Sus scrofa: one gene and its partners. The protein of the gene in region 2 binds, or shares a complex with, the protein of the main gene of each other region. Links are inferred from orthologs where the notes say so. Each region holds a gene or a part of one and is shown on either strand. Other genes may lie near its edges. The genes, in order: MYOM1, OBSL1, CUL7 and CCDC8.

Evidence for each region.
Region 1: the proteins of OBSL1 (region 2) and MYOM1 are in contact, whole or in part, in a crystal structure (PDB 5FM5), measured with the Homo sapiens proteins. The link is inferred for Sus scrofa from reciprocal best matches to the Homo sapiens genes OBSL1 and MYOM1. Residues at the interface, in NP_056126.1 of Homo sapiens: Pro243, Lys253, Phe255, Val257, Asn258, Gly260, Lys261, His262, Ala263, Lys264, Phe265, Arg266, Cys267, Tyr268, Val269, Met270, Gly271, Lys272, Pro273, Pro275, Trp279, Lys305, Tyr308, Tyr317, Cys319, Ala321, Arg322, Asn323, Ser324, Ala325; in NP_003794.3 of Homo sapiens: Arg616, Pro617, Ser618, Ala619, Pro620, Trp621, Thr622, Gly623, Gln624, Ile625, Ile626, Val627, Thr628, Glu629, Glu630, Glu631, Pro632.
Region 3: OBSL1 (region 2) and CUL7 share a complex: the UniProt entries of both Homo sapiens proteins name them as parts of the 3M complex. The link is inferred for Sus scrofa from reciprocal best matches to the Homo sapiens genes OBSL1 and CUL7.
Region 4: OBSL1 (region 2) and CCDC8 share a complex: the UniProt entries of both Homo sapiens proteins name them as parts of the 3M complex. The link is inferred for Sus scrofa from reciprocal best matches to the Homo sapiens genes OBSL1 and CCDC8.

What each region holds. Positions count from the first base shown.
Region 1 is NC_010448.4:103,450,002-103,454,172, forward strand, and holds the start of MYOM1 (myomesin-1), read left to right. Parts: upstream 1-1,338; 5' UTR 1,339-1,519; intron 1,520-4,171. UniProt on the Homo sapiens protein: Major component of the vertebrate myofibrillar M band. Binds myosin, titin, and light meromyosin. This binding is dose dependent.
Region 2 is NC_010457.5:121,564,255-121,567,815, forward strand, and holds part of OBSL1 (obscurin-like protein 1), read right to left. Parts: intron 3,283-3,561; coding exon 3,007-3,282; coding exon of another isoform or gene 2,929-3,006; coding exon 2,641-2,928; intron 2,457-2,640; coding exon 2,181-2,456; intron 1,581-2,180; coding exon 1,311-1,580; intron 1,158-1,310; coding exon 885-1,157; intron 1-884. UniProt on the Homo sapiens protein: Core component of the 3M complex, a complex required to regulate microtubule dynamics and genome integrity. It is unclear how the 3M complex regulates microtubules, it could act by controlling the level of a microtubule stabilizer.
Region 3 is NC_010449.5:38,098,744-38,102,304, forward strand, and holds part of CUL7 (cullin-7), read right to left. Parts: intron 2,835-3,561; exon of another isoform or gene 2,733-2,834; intron 2,301-2,732; exon of another isoform or gene 2,254-2,300; coding exon 2,099-2,253; intron 1,963-2,098; coding exon 1,743-1,962; intron 1,632-1,742; coding exon 1,328-1,631; intron 633-1,327; coding exon 1-632. UniProt on the Homo sapiens protein: Core component of the 3M and Cul7-RING(FBXW8) complexes, which mediate the ubiquitination and subsequent proteasomal degradation of target proteins. Core component of the 3M complex, a complex required to regulate microtubule dynamics and genome integrity.
Region 4 is NC_010448.4:52,473,151-52,477,345, reverse strand, and holds the start of CCDC8 (coiled-coil domain-containing protein 8), read right to left. Parts: upstream 2,839-4,195; 5' UTR 1,230-2,838; coding exon 1-1,229. UniProt on the Homo sapiens protein: Core component of the 3M complex, a complex required to regulate microtubule dynamics and genome integrity. It is unclear how the 3M complex regulates microtubules, it could act by controlling the level of a microtubule stabilizer.

The DNA of each region.
Region 1 (4,171 bases), on a different chromosome or scaffold from region 2:
GCATCTAGTTTCTTACAGACAAAATATCATCGGAGGGAGGATAAGGCAACACATGACAAAAAGAGCATGGGCTTTGGAATCCACATATCTCTGAATGAACTGCATTTATGTCGTTTACTAGCTGTGTGCTCTTTGGTAAATGACTTTACCTCTCGAAGCCTCAGTTTCCTCAACTGTAGCCTGAAGCTAATGCTACTTGCCTTACAGGGCATTATGACCATTAAATGGGATCACACAAAGTGCCTACCATAGTGTCTGGCACTTGATAGGTCCTCAACAGTGTTAACTGTCATTGTCATCAAGAAAGGGATTAGAAAGTAGGTCCTAATAGTGGGTCTGTTCAGTATTTGGATAAATACAGGTGATCTGTATTTAGGTGCTCTAGTATCAGAACATAACCTGCTCAGTACCTATAATCTGAACTTTTAAATTACTACTATCAGAACAACAGTTGACATTTACTGGGTCTTCATTATGTGGCAGTCGATAGGTGAGTGCTTTCTCTGTGTTATCACGTTGATTTCCACAGCAGTCCCATAATTTGGACGTTATTATCCCCATTTTATAGAGAAGGAAAATGAAGCTTAAAGAAAAATAAATTGCTTAAAGTTACATGGCTATTAAGTGCCATCAACGGTCTGGAATTGAGGTCTGGTCTGAGTCTGAAGTGCAAGCTCTAACCACCAGGTTTTACCACCTCTGAATTTGTGAAATAGTTGGAAAAAACAAAGAAAGAGAAGTGATGTTAGATAGACTGACCCTACTCTGGCTTTAGGAAAGATAAAACATGTTGCTTCCTAAAGGCTTTAATGACTGGGGAATCAAATACTCAAACTTGAAGCTATGACCTACTTTGTAAAATTTTCCTGAAATGAGAGAACTGGTGACCCCCGAATCTTCGATCCAAAATTTCTACCGCCTGTAACCCATTTCTTACTTGTTTGCCTCTAGTTAGCCTCATGTTCTTTTTTCACCTTGTGTCTTTTAAATGTACATGCATTATGAACAGCACATCCAGAACGATTATCTTGGCATTTACATTCCATGAAGTCCATTTTGGGAATCAGATTACTACATCTATTTTTAGCTCTCAACACAAACCACTCTTTCCATTACACTTTCAGATAACCAGTAATAAAATGATATTGAAAATAGCCCTTATACCCAAATAAATATCTCACATTTGGTTTAATCAAGCCAGACCCATTGACTGGCATTAATGTAATTACATTACCCAGGCAGCTACCTGCCAGTGCCTCCCTCTGCCTCTCAGTTTAGGACTACCCTTCCCATTTGCTGCTATATTTATCTGCCTTCTTGGCCATAAAAGGCTGGCTGTGTGGCTCTGACATTCTACTGCCTGACCACATGCATTATTTTTGAACTGGCCCCCAGGGTCCTGTCTTTAGCCCTGCTCTTAACTTTTTCTTGGATTCAGCCTCCGTGGGTTATTCATTCTCTCATCCAGCTCCACGGTCACGTCGGAATATTTCCACCACTGCCACTCCTCTGCAAACTGGTAAGTGTGACCTTGGGGCAGAAGAATGCACTTGATATTTCATGTGCTTAGCAGCACCACGGTGTGTGTGGTTTCTATCTTCTGAGCTCAGCAGTTTTGTCAAAGAGATGTCAGAAGTGCAGGGAAATAGGAAAGTGGGGCTCCTGGGAAGGAAAACGAGCAGCAGGGTGCCGGTTTGTGCTGGCACAGCTCTTCTCTCAGCTCAGCGGCTTCTTCTAAAATTAAGCTGCTGTTCCTGGAACCATAAGGAGATAATAGCTGTCTCAGATGGAACTGTAAGTGTGAGTCAAGTGCTTCTTCCAAATTACAGTTCAGTGGTTTGGTTGAAATCTGGGATGAGTGAGGTAACAGGAAATCATGTGTTTTCTATCCTCCATACGCCTACAATGCTCCTTGATTACAAATTAGATCAAAAGGAGTAAATGAACTCTGAAGTCACTAGTTTCTAATTTGCTCCAACAATGCCATGTGGATAAATGTAAGAGTGCACTGTGGTATTTCTCCTATGAAAACGGCTAAGCAGTATTTCACAGGCAACATAAATTCCCCACAAAATGGTCCCAAAGTTAATATTTACTGTGAAGAGTTTTTATCAGCTTTCAGCCTCTAATGCCTGTACAAAATATCATTCATGTCACAATTCCAACCATGGAGTTAGTATTTCTTCCCAAATTCCCAAATTATTTTCAGGAAGAAAAAAGGTCTTAAAGAAATAGGAGACAACCAAACCACCTTTCCTCCCAACACACTCTAGCTGTCATGTGTCGGGGATAATCCTCATGTACTTGATGAAGAGAAGGTAGTTGTACCTTCGTTCCAGAGGTCAGAGCTGTGACAACCAGCTCTGTTGATGTAAAGCCAAAGCCTGTTTACTTGTAATACATCATCTACGTGCCTAGAAAATTAAGTATTATTCAATATGTTCGGGGAAAACAGAAATAAAGAGAATGGAAAACAGAGTTGAGGCAAGACAGTTAAATATTTTATTTTGTGAAAATAATAGCATTTCAAGTTATTTTGGGTTCTGAATTTAGCTTATAATAATACATAGAAAGGTCATGCAATATTTATTTGGATATCATTCAAATAGCATTTGCCATGTTGCAGGGTAGTATGTATCACTATAGAAACATCTAATAGCTTTATAATTGCTTAGTATCATAGACGACTATATTTGTATATTCAACTCTTGTTTTATCAAAATTTATCTAGTGATTATTCCTTATATCTGAGAATTGTTCTGTACATTTTAGAACAGAAAATAGCAAAGCGTTTGCTATTTAAGGGTTGAAGCAATGTTGCTTGCTAGTAGCTATTTTTTTCCTCTTGGGAAATGCCATGTAGACTGATATCTTCCATGAGCCCTAACATAAATATTTCTGGAGTGAAGTTTGCTGGATTTGCTTCTCTAGGGAATACATGCTGACCTTTTAGTTTAAATAAAAAGTAGATTTAAACTTGACAAAAAGTGTGGCAAGTTTAGAAGAATTCAATCCTCCTTTATATATATATATATATATTTTAGGGCCGCACCCACGGCATGTGGAAGTTCCCATGCTAGGGTTTGAACTGGAGCTAGAGCTGCTGGCCTGTGCCACAGCCACAGCAATGCAGGATCCGAGCCGCATCCGCGACTTACACCACAGCTCACGGCAATGCTGGATCCTTAATCCACTGAACAAGGCCAGGAATCAAACCCACAACCTCATAGTTACTAGTCAGATTCATTTCTGCTGCATCACAACAGGAACTCCCTAGAATTTTTTTTTTAAAGATTTGAAAAAGTGATTACAACTAATTTTACTTGTAAAATTTAAAATCAGTGTTTTAGAGCATGCACAAAAGCATTAAAAATGGAAGAAAAGACTTCCATAAAACTATTTCATCATCCAGGGGTTGTCAGTGTGGCTGATAGGCTCCTCTCAGTGGACATATTATTCAAAGAAAGATAATGCAATATGAAGTTTCCCCTCCCTCTGCTAAGAAAACTTTGACTTTCAGTAGGACTTTTAGCTCAAGTTCACAGTGCAAACTGCTACCCTGATGACTGATTTTCTGGCTTCTTTATGTAGGAAGACTAGAAACCTTCATCTTCTTAATGGAATTCATATGATTTGACACTATACCTTTTTGAAATGTTTGTAAGATTTGAGAGAGCTTATTAAATGCCAATATAAGCAGCCTCCTAGGGTTCAGTCCTAGGACTTTCATTCTCATCTACTTTGTGGCTTTGAAATTTATGTATATGCTGTGAGTTTCAAATGTAGGTCTCCATCCTGGACCTTTGCCCAGTATTCCAAAGTCAAATAGCTAGCTTCCCACTTCATGTCTCCACTAGGATATCCAGCAGATATCTCAAATGTAGACTGTCTCAAACCAGACTCCTGTTCTTCCATCCTGAACTGCTGTTTTCTTGTACTCTTGCTCATCTCAGTTAATAGCAACTCTAGGGAGTTCCCTTATGGCTCAGCAGGTTAAGTACCTAGCATTATCACTGCTGTGGCTCGGGTCACTGCTGTGGCACAGGTTTGATCCCTGGCCTTGGAACTTCTACATGCCACAGGTGTGGCCAAAAAGAAAAAAAAATAGCAACTCTAGTCCTCTAATCACTTAGGCAAAATCCTTGGATTCATCTCTCACTCCTTTTCTTTC
Region 2 (3,561 bases):
TTGAACCAAGTTCAGAACCAGGGACGAGAAAGAAGGGAGCAGAGCCGGTTGACTTGTGAGGAAAAGGGGCTTAAGAGAGTTAAGAGAGGGGACACAGGAAGGGGGTGATGTGTGGTTTGGGGGGGTGAGAGGTTTGGGGGGGTCTGTGATACTGGAAGGAGAACAGAATTGGAGGCAGACACATCAGGACTGGACCCTAGCTCTGCCACATGTTTGTGTGCTATGTGATCTTTGGCAAACTGCTTGGCCTCTCTGGGCCTTAGTTTCTCCAGCTGCACAATGTTAATAGCATTGAGATATGGGGTTTATTGTGATTAAATGAGTGAAATACATTCAGAGAATACAAGTCACCCCCAAAAACCATTTATGAAGCTCTGGGTGAGTGTTTCTCATATTATCACAGTTAATGTTCCCAAAGCCTCTTGAAGTAAGGATCAGCATGGTTTTCAAGACCTGTCTCAGAGAGGGTAAGTAATTTGCCTGAGGTCACACAGTTAATAGAGTGTGCTCTGTCTTGGGGGTAGGGGTGCCCTTTGCCAACCATCCCTGCTTCCCAGTTGGGCCCGTGCGTCCTCGGGCAGACAACTGAGGGATAAACACGGCAAGTCTTTCTGGAGTATAATATTTATGTTTATAGCAAAGCCAACTTGGACATATGAAATGGAATGCAAAATTCACATGCACTTCTAAAGCAAACAGAAAACATTAGAAAAAGAAAAGTTTTGCTTTGGGCACGATGCTTCAGGTCACACTCCTGGGGGTCAGCCAGGGCTAACTTGCCTTGCAGTGAGGGGCACTTGGGTGGGGGTCTGAGGGGCTCTGGGCCAGCCAGGAGAGGCTGTGCCATGGGGCAGGTGTGTGTTAGGAGAGGACGGGGCACTCACGCCTGACGCTGAGCCTGGCCAGGGTGCGATCGTGGTGGCTCTCGCAGCCATAGGTGCCCTGGTCAGCTGGTACAACGCCGTGGATGAGGAGGCGGTGGACATGGCCATCCTGCGTTGTGGCCAGGCGGGAGTCGGGGGGGAGGGGCACCCCCCCTCGCACCCAGCGCACGGCCCCTGCTGCACCCACTCGGCCAGTCTCCACTTGGAGGCACACGTCCTGGCCTTCCTCCGCCCGCACATCCTGCAGGCGCCGCAGGAACAGCAGCTCCGTTTCTGGGGAGGAAGGAAGAGGGGGCCATAGAACTTAGGGGAGCCTGGAAGCTGACCCCCTCCCTGCTCCCTCTTAGGGATCTGTCCCCCTGCTAGGGCTGGGGCTGGGAGAATAGGTTCAGAAACAAGACGATTTTGTCTCCATCAGGACCAAACCTCGAACATGGAGCCGGGCACTTGTGGCTGTGCCCCCTGCTCGGGCAGTCACGGTCCCTGCGTCCTCAAGCTGGCAGCCTCGCAGGGTCAAGGTGCGGCTTGACCCATTCTGGGCCATCTCTAGCTGGGGCCCTGGGGTGACAACAGCCCCATTGCGCAGCCAGGTGACATCGGCATCTGGTGGGGAGACTTCACACCGGAATGTGGCATCATCACCCTCGTGGACAGTTAGGGGTGTCAGCTCTGAGACCAGCTTCACTGGCGGTGGTTCTGAGGGGGCAGGGCCAGATGGTGAGGCGGGCTGGGTCTTCCCCCCTCCCTCCTTCTCATCCCCACCTCCGGATACAGGCCTGCATCCTCCAATTATTAAACAAAACTTTCCTGAGGACCTGCTGTGTGTCAGCCATGAGATGTCCCAAAAGACAAGATGTCAACTCCCTGCCACTCCTAGCCAGCTCCTTTCAATGCTGGCCTGGCACCCACCTCTCTGACCCCCTAATAATAATGGATGGTTTACCATGGTCCCAATTTATCTCATTTAACTGTCACGACAGCCCTATAGGACAAGCACTCTCTCCCCACTTTGGAGCTGGGGCTCAGACAGGTTAAGCAACTCGCCAGTGTCACACAGCTACTGGGAAGCAGAATCCAGATTGGAACCTGGGAGCTCTGACTCCAGAGCCCTGCTTTGAACCACTGGGCTGGGCTGCCTCCTATTTGCAGGTACCTGGGAAAGGGAGCCCTGAGCTCTCACCCAAAGCTATGCATGCATGTGGAGCCAGAGGTAGAGAGGTGGGGTAGGGGGTGAGGGGACCCAGAAGGGTACAGGCTTGCGGTCCTTTGGGGGCCAGGGCCCAAAGGGTGTGTTACCTTCCACACTGACGAGGAAGATGCGGCTGTCCTGGGGCGTGTCGCACAGGTACTCCCCAGCGTCCCTGCTCCGTGCCCCCCGCACCCGCAGCACCTGCCTGGCCCCGTCCTGTTCCAGCTGCACCCGCCCCTGGCTCGCCAGGCGCTCCCCGTCCTTGTACCAGCGCACAGGGCCCCCCGGCCCGGAGAGGTGCACTGCCAGCTCTAGGTCCCCGCCTGGGGTGCTGCGAACCCTGGTCTGGGCCGCCTCGGGGGCCACCACCCGCACAGGGGGCTCTGTGGGGTCAGAGCTGGGGGTCACAGTGAGGAAGCGATTCAAGGGCTGGGGGCGGGCAGTGGGAAGCAAAATGGGGAAAGGGACTGAGAGTAGTGGGGCAAGGAGGGCAAGGTGCGCTGGAGAAGGGGAGACTCATGGGTTTGGGGGTGCAATTCTCAGGTTTCCTGCCCAGGCTATACTCACCAGCCACTTGGACAGTGAAGCTGAGGCTGGGAGCCCCCGGGGCTGCCCCGGACTGGCAGGTGTAGAGGCCCGCATGGGCCGGGTCTGCAGCCCGGATGCAGAGGATGCGGCGGGGGCCCTCAGCATGGAGCTCCAGGCCCTCGCCCTCCTGAACTGGCCTCCCGTTGTGGCTCCAAAAGACAAGGGCGCCAGCCCTGGACAGTTCACAGCTCAGCACCACCGGATCCCCGGGGGCCACACAGAGCGGGCTGGGGGCTGCCTCTGGGGCAAGGAACTGGACAGGGGGCTCTGGACAGAGAGAGGCGGTGGTGTTGACTCGGTAACGCCCCGCCTCCCCCCTCCCCTGGGCTGGCCAGGAGCGCCCACCAGCCAGGCTGACATTGAAGGTGACAGCTTCATCATGAGTCTCACACACATACTCCCCGGCGTCCTCAGGCTCGGCATGGGGCAGGGTCAGGGTGCGAATGGGCCCCTCAGCACCCAGCTGCAGGACGTCTGATGCTTCCACCTCCAGCCCATCCTTGTACCAGCGCACCTGGGATCCAGCTGGGGCCACCTCGCAGCGAAGCTCCACACGCCCTGGAGCCCCGAACTGCAGGTCCAGGGCGCGAGCTGCTGGATGCACAATCCTCTCTGGGGGGGCTGGGGGGTGGACCGAGACGGGTGAGTGGGCTCCACCTGCCTCACCACTAGGTTCTCAGCCCTCTCCCTTTGCAGTGCAGCTCTTGGGAACAGAAGGACCTTCAATCCATGGGCACTTAACTGTGGGCCGGGCCTTGTGCTAAGCACACTGCAGCCCTTTTCTCAGCTACCCCTGACACTCCCTCTCACTGGCACTTATTTATTTATTTATTCGTTCATTTATTCATTTATTGCTGGCCTTTAGGGCCGCACCTATGGCATACAGAAGTTCCCAGGCTA
Region 3 (3,561 bases), on a different chromosome or scaffold from region 2:
TCCTGGGGCGTCCTTTGGCTCATGAAGTTCCAGGGGGCCCCTTGAAGAGGCAAGAGGTCTAATTGCCCAATTCAGCACATCTGGAGAGAGCCCGGACAGCGCCAGCAGACGCTCCACGGAGACGGCCTTAGAAAGAGGAGGGAAGGTTCCCATTGTGGTGCAGCGGAAACAAATCCAACTAGTATCCATGAGGATGTGGGTTTGATCCCTGGCCTTGCTTAGTGGGTCTGGGATCCGGCATTGCCAAGAGCTGTGGTGTAGGTTGCAGATCCAGCTCGGCGCCGCTGTGGCTGTGGTGTAGGCCAGCAGCTGCAGCTCCGATTCAACCCCTAGCCTGAGAACTTTCATATGCTGCAGGTGTGGCCCTGAAAAGAAAAAAAAGAGGAGGGAAGCATGAGGGCTTCCCCAGGGGGTGGAACAAGGAGGGGGAAGGGAAGAAAGGGGAGGGCCAGGCGAGAGAGCAGGGAGGCGCGAGGGCTGGGCCACCTGCAGCTCGTTGAGATGCAGCAGCAGCCACATCTGCACGGTGGTCACTTGCAGCGTCTGGTCCCCAAACTGCAGCACAGCCCGGCCCAGCCATGTCCACTGCAGTCGCCGATGTGGGCCCCGCTCTAGAGCAGGGTAGCTGTGACCTGAGGAGCATCAGGGAGGAGGAGGGGTCAAGGGCTGGGGAGGACATGCTATAGGTGGAGTTTTGTCCCCTCTGCAGAGCCTGGGGCCCAGCATTTGTGGACACTGGTTCCTGGCCCGAGCTTTCACAGCTCAGCTTTCTGTGTGTCTGCCTCCGAGGAGGCCTGAGTATCTGGGAGCCCACCCTGTGCCAGGCGAGCTGTGATCAGGGCCTCCAAGGAGTTCCCCACTGTTTTAAGGGAGGAAAAAACATAATGAGGAAGGACTGGGGCTTTCATCAAACTGGAAACAATGTCTCCCCTACAAGTGTAGGAGCTCCTTGAGGGCAGGGTCTAAGTGTCCCCCTCCTTTGTCACTGCCCAGCCCAGGATCAGCCTCTAGTGGGAAACGTAGGTTACAGTGACTAACCAGGAGTCAGACACCTACATGGAGGGAAAGCCCTTCCTGGTGGCCTCAGGTGCCTCTCGCCTCCATCCTCCCCACCACCCATGAGAGTCCTGGGTCTCATTTTAAGGACAGAAAGGGCAACAGCCTGGGATCAGGTGCCCATAGTCCCACCCTCCCCTCAAACCCAAGCTGCTGCCCCTTCTTCTCAAACCCACCCCATCAAGGCTGCCAGCCCCAGGGGTTGCCCCCAAGCCCAGGTTCTTATCCCATCCTCTTTCCAGCCCCCAGTTCCCTCAGCCCCGCTGCTCACTCTTGATGTAGAAGTTGGAGTATCGGTTCAAGGTGTCCCTCAGGTAGGCGGGCAAGCAGGTTCTGGGGTTGAGCGGGTGGCAGATGGAGCCAGTGGGTGAGCCGTTCAGCACGAGCACAGACATTTCCGGCATCGCCCCTTCATAGTAGAGGTCCTCGTTGTCGTCCTCGTCCTCGTTGTCATCCTCCTCCTTCTCGGCCTCTTCGGCTATCGCCGCTACTGCCTCTGCCACCACCCCAACCTCCAGCTCAGCTTCCTCTCCATTCCCTCTTGTGTGCCCCCTGCCACTGGCTTCACAGCCCACCTGAGGGTGGAACACACGGCACCCAAAGCCAGTGGGCTCCTTGGGTCCAGCTTGTGCCTCTGTCTCTGCCTCCCACCCACCCACTTGCTAATTCCCCTCCCCTGCACCCACCTGGATCTTCCTCTCTGTGCCCTCCAGCTTCAGGAGTTGCTGATCAAGCCGCTGAAGCTGGTACACGTGGAACTGGCGCTGCCGCTCCTCCGAGGTGCTCAGGCTCCGAAAAATCTGCTGGGGGAGGCGGTTGGGGAAGCAGGGGCCGATCTGATCCAGTGCAACCTCCTCCAGCCAGCTCGAGAAGCCCACGGCAAAGACACGGTCCACCATGTAGTGCCTGCAGGGCGCAGAGCCCAGGCCGAGCCTCAGTGTAGGGGCTTGGCATGGGGCGGCCTCCGGCTCAGGGACCCCAGAGCTGGCCCTGCCTGTCATCCTGCCTCCCCCCACTGCCCACTATCTCGGTCCACACTCACTGGTAGTAATGCTCGAAAGTGGTGGCGATCTCCAAACCAGAGAAGATCAGAACGCTTTCCAGGCATTGCTGTAGCTGGGCCAGCATCCCCTGGGGCCCACCATTCCGGCTGCCACGGATACACTGGTCAATGTGCCGGGCAAACTGCTCACTCACCTGGGCAGCAGGAAGAGAACAGGAAAACTATGAAGAGAGCGGAGGAGGTGAGTGGGAGAAGCAGAGGGCCTGAGGAGGGAGTTACACATGGCCAGCAGCTTCATCAATGGGTCAAGGGTTTTGTTTTGTTTTGTTTAATTTTTTGTCTTCTTAGGGCTGCACCTTCAGCATGTGGAGGTTCCCAGGCTAGAAGTCGAATCGGAGCTGAAGCTGCCAGCCTACGCCACAGCCACAGCCACGGCAACTCGGGATCTGAACTGCATCTGCCACCTACACCTCAGCTCACAGCAACGCCAGATCCTTAACCCACTGAGCAAGGCCAGGGATCGAACCTTCGTCCTAATGGGTGCTAGTCCAGGTTCACTCTCGGCTGAGCCACGACGGGAATTCCTGCTCAACGATTTTCTAAAACTGAAATCATTAACAGCTGTGCGCATTGACAATGAGAACAATACTGAAAAATGTTTTCTCACATTCAGCACATCCAAAGTTTAACTGAGCATGAAGAGACAGAAGCACACCTCGGAGATTTTGCTCGTTTGGCTCCAGGCTCACAATAAAGTCACACATGTTTTCTGGTTTCTGAGTGCATATAAAAGTATGCTTACATTTTCTGGTAGTCTATTAAGTATACATAGCATTATGTCTAAAAAACAATGTACATACCTTAACTAAACAATACATTATTGCTGGAATTCCCGTTGTGGCTCAGTGGTTAATGAATCTGACTAGGAACCATGAGGTTGCGGGTTTGATCCCTGGCCTTGCTCAATGGGGTAAGGATCCGGCGTTGCCGTGAGCTGTGGTGTAGGTCGCAAACCCGGCTCGGCTCGGATCCCGAGTTGCTGTGGCTCTGGTGTAGGCTGGCAGCTACTGATTAGACCCCTAGCCTGGGAACCTCCATAGACCGCAGGAGCGGCTCTAGAAATGGCAAAAAGAAAAAAAAAAATACATTATTGCTAAAAAAAGTGCTGACCATCACCTAACAATGCAGGATTGCCACAAACCTTCAATAGGTTAAGGAGTTCCTGTTGTGGCTCAGCGGAAACAACCTGACTAGTATCCATGAGGATGCAGGTTCAATCCCTGGCCGCGCTCAGTGGGTTATAGATCCGGCATGAGCTGTGGTGTAGATCGCAGACAGGGCTCAAATCCCAAGAGGCTCAACCTCTGGCCCGGGACTTCCATATGTGACAGGTGTGACCCTAAAAAGCAAAAAAAAAAAAAAAAAAAAAAAAAAAAGTTAAAAAATACATTATCTACGAAGCAGAGTAAAAAGCAAGGGGCAATATAATGAGGTACACCTGT
Region 4 (4,195 bases), on a different chromosome or scaffold from region 2:
GTCTTGACCGGTTTCCGGGTCCTGGCTCCTGGGGTTGCCCCTGTGGCTCTCCAAGCAGCTGAGGATTCAGCTTCCTGGACAGCCAGGGCCTCTGCCCTCTGACTACATGCAGCTTCTGCCCTCTGGTCAGGAATGGCCTCTGCCCTCTGGACAGCTGGCGCCTCTGCCCCCTGGACAGCTAGGGCCTCTGCCCTCTGATTATCTGCAGCCTCTACTCTCTGGACAGTTGGGTCCTCTGCCCCCTGAGCAGCAGGGGCCTCAGCCCTCTGATTATCCACAGCTTCTGCCCCCTGGAGAGCTATGGCCTCTGCCCCCGGGACCACTACTACCTCTGCCCTCTGATCATCTGCAGCCTCTGTTCTCTGAGCTCTAGTTGGGGCTTCCTCCCTCCTGCGACGACGGAAGGAGGCCCAATTGATTTTGGGTCTCCACCGACTTGGGGGATTCTCAGGCACCCGCCCATCTCCTGCATTTCCCCTGTCCTCCCCGAGGCTTGAGCTGCCTGGCACCGATGCGCCATCCCTCTCCACCCTGGTAGAGGCCTGCCGGGCCTCACCCACCCCTGGGCTGGACCTCGGTGCCCAGCCCTTCACCCTCCGCTTCAGCTTCCCCCAGGACACCTGGCTGACATATTCCCGCCATCTATCAGCCTTGGACAGCTGGGGTCCCGGATTGTCCTCAAACATGGGCACTGGCAGGGTCACACGGCGGCGGGCCGGCGGGGCACTGGGCTTCTTCTCTCCTCGCCGCAGGAAGGCCTCAACCAGTTCCTCGTCATCCTCGCTCTCCAGGTCGCTCCCAAGGAATTTGCTGCCCAGGTAACTGACAGGCATTTTGCGCAGCCTCCTTCCACGCCCCGTGCCTTTGTGGTCCTTGTCATCCTTGTCTCTGGAGGTTTCAAAGTCGCTGAACTCGCTGTCACTGGCATTGCTGCTGTCATAAGTACCCACGACCAGCCGAGGAGGTGGCGTCACCATCTGCGGGACTCTCCTCCTCGATCCGGGCTCCTTGGGCTTTTTAGGGGGCTGGGGCGGGTGGGGGGTGCTCTTCTCGATGATGCGGGCCACATCCTCCAGGGTGCGGCCTTCTTCCTCCAGAAACTGGATCAGCCGCTCCCGAAATTCCGCCTCCTTGGTGGCGGGCTTGGAGATAACCCTCCAGACGCCTCCCGCCAGCCTGACCTCGCGGGGGATGAGCAAATAGTCTACGTCCTCGCCGATCTGCAGCATCCCCACCGTGGAGTCCTCCTCGCGGCGGAACACCTTGCCGATCTTCTTGAATGTCCCCACCGGCTTCAAGGCTTCCACGAGGACGTCCAAATCCACATCTTTGCAGATGTCGGGGACGCTCCAGAGGATCAGGCAATCAGGGGAAGGGAGGAAGCCCCAGGGGAACCAGCCCCCCACGTGGCTTTTCTCGAGGGTCTTTAAGATCTCCAGGGTGAAATCTAAAGTGCGGGCAAGGAGCCCAAACTACTCGCAGCGCCGAGTCTTGGGGTGGGGATGCGGTCCCAAGAGCGCGGCCGGGAATCTCACCTCCCAGTTTCTCTGCCCGCAACAAGTCGGGTCGTGATCCAGTTCGCTCCCCTCAAGGACTGGTGGGAATCGATTCAGGGTGCTTACGTGAGTCGGAGTCTCAAGGTTCCAAGCCCGCCGCAAGCTGTAAATGGGTGTCCCGGCTCCAACTCAGTGTAAGGACTGCTGGTGGCTCTTCCTGTGCCAGGCACAGGGGACGTCCCTGGAACTTGGGAAAGGACTTTGCAGACAAAGACGGCTCAGCTGTGGCTGTTCAATATGGCCGAGGCTCTTGGAGGCCGCAGCCAGCTCCCCAGGAGGGTCTCCCGCCCCTAGGCAGGCTGCCACCTCGGTCCAGGCTGACCTTGACGCGCCTCCGCCCCCAGCCTGCGCGCCCAGGGCCGGCGAGTGCGCGCGCGGGCAGGAAGTTCCTCCTCGCCTTCCCCCTGGATGAGGCCCACCTTCTCCCTGCTCGGCTTACACTCCCGGACTCGGGGAAGACTGACAGGGGGGCTGTCCACTCCCCTTGGGGCGCCCTCGCCGCCCTCCCCCCCAGGGGTGTGGCTGCGCCCCGGGCCTCTCAGGGGCCCCGGCTTCCAAGCCAAAGGCCTGCGGTGCCGACGCCCACGTCAGCAGCTTTCTCTGAGAAAGGCAGCAGTTCCCGAAACTACCGTCCCAAAAGTGCGGGTTCCAGCCCAGCCCTGAAGGTGGGCGCGCTCATCATCGGGCAATCCCTTGGAAAGCCACTGACAGTATAGTACCATCTTAAAATTAAGTGACTTTGGGTACCGGCAGTTCCTAGCCATATACCCAGACATGTGGGTGAAGAACCTGGTATCAAGGTCTTATTGCAGCTCATCATGGGGCTTGGCACAGAGTAGGTGCTCAAGAAATATTTTTGAGTGAATGAATGCACCTAATTGTTCACCGGTAGGGACTAACGGTGAAATACTAGGCCGTTATGAAAAAGAGAAGTGACTGAGAATAAACACATTTTAGGGAGCACTTCCTACGTACGAAGGACCATGCTAAGTGCTTTTTATAAATTAACTCATAAAATTCACACAAAAACATCAGGATACAGATAATACGATGCTCATTCCCATTGTACAGCTGAGGAAATAAAATCAATCTCTTGCTCAAGGTCACATGGCCAGGAAGAAGACTGAACCTGGATTTGATTCTGAAACAGTCTAATGTGTGTGTAGACCAAAGGGCCTAGGTGTATACATACATTTGTCATGTGTAGAAGCACTGCCAACAGTGGCTATATCTGGGGACCCCGGAGGTGGCTTTTCACTTTTCACATGACTTTTCACTCTATCATTTTGGAGTGCTTCAATTTTTAACAATCAAAAATGTTAACTGAAATAAGTTAAATTAAATTGAAGGACCTCAGATACCTCAAAAATGTTAATTGAAATAAGTTAAATTAAAGGGTCAGGATTCGCAAAGCTTCTTGGGTAACTGTGAGGCAACCACATGCACAGCAACAACTGCCTTAGTAATAATAACGGTTAACCTGCATGGATGCTTTCTTTGAAACCAGGCATCCTGAGTGGGCCTGTTATGAATCTGCAGAGCTACACCGAAAGGTGAATGCCTTCACTATCATCTCCTTACAGCTGGGGACACTGAGGCTGGTCCCCGATTGCACAGTTCGAAGTGGAGAGCCAGATATTTGAACCAGATCCCAGACGTTAGAACTAACTCCAGGCTCTGAAGATACAGCTGATCTGCGTCCTCCTGAGAGTGCTAGGCTGTTTGACCCCTTAAAAGCCATCGCATGTCCAGCTGCCCTCAATGCTTGCCTGGATCCATACAAATCCCTCCTCGTGGGGCTCCCTGCTTCCTTCTCACTGCCTATAATCAATCCACCCCCAACCTAGCAACTTAAGCCAGATCTGTCTCTCCTCTAATTTTTTTTTTTTTTTTTTTTTTTTTTTTGTCTTTTTGCTATTTCTTGTGCCGCTCCTGCGGCATATGGAAGTTCCCCGGCTAGGGGTCGAATCGGAGCTGTAGCTGCCAGCCTACGCCAGAGCCACAGCAACTCGGGATCCGAGCCGCGTCTGCAACCTACACCACAGCTCACGGCAACGCCGGAACCCCGACCCACTGAGCAAGGGCAGGGATCGAACCCGCAACCTCATGGTTCCTAGCCGGATTCGTTAACCACTGCGCCACGACGGGAACTCCTCTCCTCTAATTTTAAAGTCCTCGCCATCACCCACAAAGTCCCACTTCCCGCTCTCTTTCTCTCTTCCTCACTCCACTCCAGCCACACCTGCCTCCTCATTGGTCATCCAATAAATCGGGCTTACCTCCACCTTCAGGTCCTTTGCATCACTGGTCCCAACACCCAGAAAGTTCTGCCCCTACCTTCTCTTGGCAATCTCCCTCTGCTCAAATGTCATCTTTTTTTGTTGTTGGCCGTGCAGAAGGTCTCAGGCTAGGGATCTAGCCCATGCCACAGCAGTGACAATACTGGATCCTTAAGCACTAGGCGCTAGGGTGTTGCAAAAGGTTATCACTTCAGAGGTCATACTGCACCCTCCCCAAATTACTGAGCAGTCTCTACCCTCTTGAGGACCCTTTAGCTTAGGAATTCTTAACCTTTTCCATGTCAAGGACCCTTTTCAGGATAGTTTTGCAATGCATGGTATTGTATTATTGGATTACAA